Arabidopsis thaliana: one gene and its partner. The protein of the gene in region 1 interacts with the protein of each later gene in a pairwise test. Each region holds a gene or a part of one and is shown in the gene's direction. Other genes may lie near its edges.

The links. The genes of interacting proteins can lie anywhere in the genome.
Region 2: the proteins of AT5G47590 (region 1) and AT3G55605 interact in a two-hybrid assay, tested with the Arabidopsis thaliana proteins (one large-scale study listed by BioGRID).

The regions. Positions count from the first base shown.
Region 1 is NC_003076.8:19,297,250-19,301,003, reverse strand, and holds AT5G47590 (Heat shock protein HSP20/alpha crystallin family), read left to right. Parts: upstream 1-1,829; 5' UTR 1,830-1,904; coding exon 1,905-1,959; intron 1,960-2,233; coding exon 2,234-2,611; coding exon of another isoform or gene 2,612-2,697; coding exon 2,698-3,059; 3' UTR 3,060-3,390; downstream 3,391-3,754. Other genes in the region: AT5G47600 (HSP20-like chaperones superfamily protein), read left to right, coding at 548-602, 719-1,059.
Region 2 is NC_003074.8:20,620,696-20,624,449, forward strand, and holds AT3G55605 (Mitochondrial glycoprotein family protein), read left to right. Parts: upstream 1-1,911; 5' UTR 1,912-1,972; coding exon 1,973-2,227; intron 2,228-2,582; coding exon 2,583-2,944; intron 2,945-3,034; coding exon 3,035-3,194; 3' UTR 3,195-3,356; downstream 3,357-3,754. Other genes in the region: AT3G55600 (Membrane fusion protein Use1), read left to right, coding at 1-73, 153-220, 425-497, 743-858, 944-1,045, 1,206-1,305, 1,470-1,646; P5CS2 (delta 1-pyrroline-5-carboxylate synthase 2), read right to left, coding at 3,583-3,691.

The DNA.
Region 1 (3,754 bases):
CTAACATATACATACTTGTGTTTGCTATGGTACCCAATGATTCATGTCATTTGTTTTCACAAACTTTTAACTCTTTTTTTTTCCTCTAAGCCGATTGAAACAAATTGGGTCCATTGCATAATTTACCTAAAGCTAAGCTGATATTGAATATTAGTTTCTTCCATCAAATGTCAATTGTTTATAATTCATCCCCCGACAAAACTAAATGGGCCGATTCTTAGGCCCATATTAGGTGGTCACTCCGGTTGTGCTAAAAATTGTTCAGAGAAGTCAAAGTCTCCAGATTGATGTCAATTGTCAACACTCTACAAGATCACTCCTTTCCATGGAGTTCAACTAGAAGAGCTTTTCGATCAATTTCACCAAATCAGAAACAATTTCGAATTTTTAACACTCCTTGGGCCGATTAATGGGCCAAATGATAGGTCACTCCAGGCCTTTCCCAAACCCTATAGTCCTCCTCGGCTATAAATAGCAAGTGGAGTAGAGCGACTTTGCTCACTCAGTTTCCTTCCAAAAGAAAGAGAAAGAGCATCGTTTTGAGCAAATGAGTAGGAACATGGAAGTTAACGCAGGCAGTTCCGGCGAAATTCCGTCTCCAAGTAAAGTTTTCATCTTTCACTGTCATTTCTTATAAAAATCAAACCTTTATAGTTTACACGTCAAATCTCTCTTTCTAATAACGAATTTGTGTTTGTTTTATCTTATGTATGTACAGTAAGGAACCGATTTCAGAAAAGTGGGAGTCAAGCGGTGTACGAGGTGACAGAGACGAAGAAATCTTGCGTGACGAGAGTCGACATGCCTGGTTGTCCCGAGTCAGATCTCACCTACTGGGTCGACGCCAACAACGTCCACTTCTTCGCCGACGAACCAGCAATGCCTGAGTACGAAAACGCCGGACGCAAATACGGAGGCTCCATGATTTTCAACCCTGAGGCTTACGACGTCAAGAAAACTAAAGTGAAGCTTATCAACGGAGTGCTCTGGATCACCGTCCCTAAGATCCCAGGCAAAAACGCTTCCATTAATGTCAAGGAGAGGATCCTCCATTACTGATTTAACAACACCTTGGTTTGTGTCTCGTAATGGTACTTGTGTCTAGCGTCTCTATCTATCTATGAACTTTGATGCAGCTACTGCTTTATGTTTATCATTTTGTGGTTTAGTTAAGAACGATCTTGCTTCTATATGTCGTGATCTCAATAAAGAAAAAGTTGTCAGCTTTCTTTGTTCTATTTAATCTTACATTAACCTAGCTATTCGATAAGACTATATAGATCTTTGCCATTATTAAACCGGATTACGAGTATGTAACCTGGACATGTTAATAGATATATGTTGTTGTAAGTAGGGATCAAACTTTTTAATAGCGTTGTCGTAATAATTGGATAAACACTAAACGACGGTTGAAACCTTATTTGATCTTTGATGAAAAAAAAAAAGATAATTGAGAGCTCATAATTTTTTTACTCTTGAAGATTGCTGACGTCAGCGTCGTCTTGTCAAAAATGTTTGAAAATTAATGAAGAGTGAAGAGTGTGGGTACGGTTTTACTTTTGCAGTCATTTTTGTCGTACATAATTACATATAAACGAAAGGAGTAAAAAAAGCGTGGGATAGCTCACAGAGCTGGTGACGTCAGCTTATTCTCTACCGTAAAAAAAATCAAAAGAGTAAAAGCAAGTTTTTTTTCTTACCGAGAGAGAGAGTCGGTGACGTAGGCAAGACCAGTCAAACTTATGCTATGAAGGTTAAAAAAAAGCCAGCTGGAGCGTGCCACGTCACAGTCTGTACCACAAGATGGTGCTTCGTCTATATTTATCAACAGGAGAACAAAACGCCATTTTTACGCAACCTACCTTGAACTAGAAGAGAAGAGAGAGCAAAAAACAAAGAGAGAGATGGGTGAGACAAAGGCAGATTTCAGGGACATGTCAAGAATTCCTAAAGTTCGAGGTATCTCTTTTCACGAGCTACTAGATTTCCCAAGAACAACATTGTTCTAATTTTTCTCGGAAAATATGTGTTTTTTCTAGAAAGTTGTCTCAATTTGTTTACTTGTGAAGTGTTAACATGAACTTGGTACAAAGATTTACAGTTTTTTTACTGTGCATGATTCATGAAAATGAAGCAGATCGAGTTAGTTCCATCTTTGATAAGTGTCTTCCTTTGTTCTCTGTATACTTTTCTTCATCAAGTTTTGATCTTTGTTTACTTATTATTATTACAGAGGGGTTCTACGCGACGAACAATCAGTTTCAGAAAGCGGGTCCAAAGGGTTTCGTTCAAGTGAAGGTTCTGGAGAACGACAATCTCTACGTGCGTGTCGACTTGCCTGGTGTTCCAGACGACGCCGTTCGCTACAGAGTTGACGCCGTGAGACAAAAGGTTGTCTTTTTCTCCGGTGAAACTCTGAACAACGGCAAGGAAGGTGTGCGTCAGTACTCTGGAACCGCTGGGCTTGGCTGTGACTGCTGCGAGATCACAGGCGTGGATGCCAAAATGAAAGATGGAGTTTTGAGGATGATTCTCACAAGGGTCAAGGTTGTGAGCAAGGCTCAAGACAACAACAACAACAAGTGTACTCTCACTGTGCCTCCTTTTACAGGTTCGACTCATTCCTCTTCTCTAAAGTCACAATCTCTTTTGCTGCATCATTTGTTGTTAATACAGTACTCTCTGTTCTTTATTAAGGTCAATCCGGAATACGCTTGGAGGATCATCCGTGTCTGGTGTCTGGTCGCAAGGGAGCACTAATTGGGGTGACAAAAGCGGGAGGAGGGGCTCACTTTGCAGTGGACATGCCAGGTGTTAGTCCGGATGATGTGGAAGTGTATGCTGATGAAAAGGAAATCAGATTCAAAGCTGAGATCAAGGACGTGTATGAACACGATGAGAGCGGTCGAACCTACCTCGGAAGCGTCCAAAGTCCTTTTCCCGCTTTAATTTCGAACAACACCATCGCTTGGGATGCAGAATTTGGTGTTCTCAGGATTGCTGTCATACCTCCTGACGACATGACCACCATCAACAACAAAAGAAACCCTATTGAATGAATGATCTCTCTACCTCTCTTTTAGCTAGTACTCTACTATATTTTCATTTTGGGACATTGACTAGTTTTCTCTGTTTAAGTTGAGACATTGTGTGTGTGAGAGAGATTAGTCCTGCTTTTGTGTTTGCTATCGAATCAAGTGATTCATGTCATTTGTTTTCACAATCTTAACTCTTTTGTTCCCCTAAGCTGAATTCAAAAACAAACAAACTGGATCCCTCGAATAACCTGATTGGTGATGATGATTGCTCAAAACCCCCTAAAGCTGATTCCATGGAATGTCAATTGTTTATAGATCCTAGGACATTTGATCTGTCACTCAACAGTGCCTAATTCCTCAATTGAATCGAAATGGTCATGAAAGGAGTGTGATCATTTTATCAGACAAGTCAAAGTTTCTACTCTTCATCATTATTAACACATCCAGTAACAAAACTAATTGGGCCGATTATTAGGCCCATGATAGGTGGATCACTCCAGGCCTTTTCCAAACTCCACGAAAGCAGGCAGAAACACTTTCTTCCCGTGAGTTTTTCCCGGTTGATCTGCGATTCAACAGTGTCTATCCGAAATTTAGTTGAAATGGTCATAGAAGAGTGTAGTAGAAAGGTTGGAATTTGTGCTCAAAATCGGTCAGAGAAGTCAAAGTTTGCTACTTTTCCAGTCTCTAGAATGATGTCAACAAGATCACTCATT
Region 2 (3,754 bases), on another chromosome or scaffold:
CAAAACGGAGATCAATTTGCGGAGATTGCTTTCCGCTGCACCTAACCAGCAAAATCAGTCGAAGCTTATGCATGTACGTTTCTTTTGATCTTCATTATATGTAAACTATTAGTCTCGTGTTTATGTTGATGTATGAAACAAAAAATCTGCAGTATGTTGCTACATTGAGGGAACAATTAGAACAACTCTCCGAAGAAAAAACCCCTGAAGGCCTTCCCAGGTTTACTTACTCTCTTGTTGATTCACCATTGCCATTAAAAAGATTCCTGCTTTTTGGTGTCTCTTTCTAGGATCAAGGGTTAGAGATTTGAACTGGATTGCTTCGTATTATAGTTGTTGTTCTAAAAGTACATGTTTTTTGGTGAAATACCCTTGCAACCATTATGAGAATGTGCTTATTTTCTCCTTTGATCTCTTTGTCCAGAGTTACAAAGGCTAAGGTTAATGAGTACTATGAGAAGATTGAAGCTGTTGCTTCCAAGATAGCTTCTCAAGAGGTAAGTCACCTGAACTAGAAAGGGACACTTCTTTTCACTTGTCTAGCTAGGACATTAGGCTCTTGTTGATATGATACTTTGTTAGTTACTTCCCCAATTTTTACTAGATGTATTGGTCTCAGGAATTAGTTTCAGGAACGCACATTTTGGTTGGTTCCTGCGTAGAACCATTGTTTAGCTGCAAGAATTTTCAAGTTTTACTTCTGTAACTTATACCAAATTTTTGATTTTTGCTAAATTTACAGCCTGAGACAGAGGTATCTGATGAACCCTTTGCAAAAGATTCGACTAGTGGAAGCTCACCAAAAATAGAAGATGAGCCTCGAAGCCCCACTTCGCCACAGCTGAGAAGAAGAATCGTGTACGTGGAATACTAGATTCACATCCTTCTCAAGTTGTAGTAAATTCTTTCTTTTAGTACTTATCAACTTCCTTGATTGAGTTAGCCCTGCAAGTTCCAAGGAGCAAAGCTTTGATGCTGCTGATGCTGATTCATCAAAACCAATAAAACTAGACACCGCAGCTCAAGCGCACATTGACAAGCACAGGTAGATGCATTGATCACCAAGAAGAACTAGGAACTCATTTCTATCTATGCACTTTCGTTAGTAGAGAGAAAAATTTATCGCAAAGAGTAGAGCTTTATTGATTTTAATATAAGTTCAATTTTGCCACTTCATGCCAAGTTGGTGATTCATTTGATGACAGAAAGCTTCAAGAGGATCTAACCGATGAAATGGTGGTACTTGCAAGACAACTCAAGGAGAGAAGTCAAGCGATTAGTCAATCTGTGCAAAATACAGAAAAGGTGAGATGCTAACCATTTCCTCACAAAACCAATTATTCTTACTTTTTTAATCAACAACTATGTAACAAGAGAAGAATCTATATTGGTTCATATATCCTTTTAACCGGCTTCATTGCTCCTAACATTTTTCTTTCTTTCTTTTCTTGTGGATTCATTAACAAAAGATACTTGACTCTACCGAGGAGGCCATTGAGCAAAGCCTAGCGAGCACAGGACACGCGACAACAAGAGCGACAAAGATATATTCACAAAGCTCAAAGACAAGTTGCTTCCAGTGGCTCTTGATCTTCGCCATGATCTGTGTGTTCATAATGGTTGTTCTGTTGATCCGGGTCACATAGAAATTGTTCAGATTGTAATACCAAATTAGTGAAATCCAAAAAACATTTCAGTCTCTTTATCATACAGTTTGTGAAAGTTCTTTTGACTTTTGTAAATTCTGAGTTTTTGATATGTGAAACTATACTTCTAAAAGATATGCCAGAAATCAGTACAATTTGTTTGTGAAGAGGAATTGAGAAATGAAGAATTGTAATTTAACCGGTTTGGTTTGAAGACCGGTATGATTTGGTTAGTATAGTTTGTCTTCTTCGTACACTTAAAAGTTAAAACCCTAAGGAAAGGCCAAAACCCAGAGACTGAGAGAATCCATTTTCTTTTAATCGCCATGGGTTTCGCTTTGTGCATTCGTAGATCAGCTTCTACTTTAGCTTCCGTGTGTGGTCGTGTGGCTCGAGCTCAAGCCGTCTCCGCTATCGTTAATCGCTCGTCTCTTGTTCCCAAGCCATCTCTGCTTCGGCCCTTCGTCTCTCGTGGCTTTCCTTATTCGACGGCCACTGAGCCGTTAAAGTCCGATCAGACGCTTATACAAGTGATTGACTCTGAGATCAAGGATTCTTTCGAAGCAGATGATCACGATGCGGTAATAACTGATCTTTATCACTTGATTCCTGGGAAAATAAACGAATCTGTGGGATTTGTTTTTTTCTTGGTTTTTGATAGAGAATTGTAGAAGCAGTGTTGAAAATTGGACTGAATCTGTGAGTTTGCTTACTCTGTGGAAGCCATAAGCTTTAGTGGGAACTCATGGTTGAATCTAACTGGAGACTTTCTATGCCTTAAATCGCATTTCTTTCAGAATTTGTTGAGTAAAAGTTCATACATTTCGGAATTTGATCATGAACCTGTTTTGATTCTGAGCTCACACAAATTGCATGAACCTGTTTTGGTTATAAGCTTATGAGAGACTACATGGTTCTTCTGGTTATATATTTCAGGATGAAGAGACGATAGACTCTAGTGACTTTCCTTTCAAAATCGAAGATAATCCTGGACACAGGACTGTGACATTGACTAGAGAATACAATGGAGAGCAGATTAAAGTAGAAGTAAGCATGCCTGGTCTTGCCATGGATGAAAATGAAGATGATGTGGATGACGATGAAGATGGTGATGGTCGTCATGAGAAATCGAATGAATCAAGCATTCCACTTGTTGTCACTGTGACCAAGAAGAGTGGACTTAGCCTAGAGTTTAGCTGCACTGCTTTCCCTGATGAGATTGTCATTGATGGTTTGTCTGTGAACCGTCCAGATGATTCTTCTGAAGAACAGTTGACTTATGATGGGCCAGATTTTCAGTAAGCAACATACTGTATATCCCCTCTGTTTTAACCATATGATAACCCCAAGAAAAAACTCATATGTTGTTTCTTTCTTGTGCTTTGCAGGGAGTTGGATGAGAATATGCGCAAGTCGTTCCACAAGTTTCTAGAGACGAGAGGAATCAAAGCAAGCGCAACGGATTTCTTGTATGAGTACATGATGAAGAAAGATAGCAGAGAGTACTTACTATGGTTGAAGAAGCTCAAAACCTTTGTCCAAGAATGAAGGAGACACGCTTAAGTAGAGTAAGAGCTAGATTGTTTTATGTTTGCAGATTTCATTTGTAATGACTTTTGAGTTCACAATGGGGTTTTGAATGTGAAATGCCGATTTGTATCTTTGTCTAGACCACAAATTAGAAAAAATATAACTTATTCTGCATGGAGAAATGATACAAATAGTTGTGGTAAATCAAAGGTTGTGGACATGTATGGAGCTTTTTTGACATGAAGAGAAGCTGCTAAACATTTCACTATTATCAAAGACCACTTAAGTAATGAGATCTTCTTATGATGGTACAAACCTCAAGGAACACTATATCCTATGTAAAAGGGGGAAAAAACTTCAATCATAATTGTAAAACATAATATGACATCAGCAGAGAAAGAGAGAACTAAATTCCATTCTCAACAGCCTCTGTCCTTTGTAAGACAGGAAGATCCTTATGGGTGTAAACGATTCCATTGTCTCCATCCACAACTTGTCCCTTTCCTCTCATTATCCTGTCATTCATCACCACAACCATTTAAACTTCACAGCTTTTGACAAATCAGTGAACTATGGAA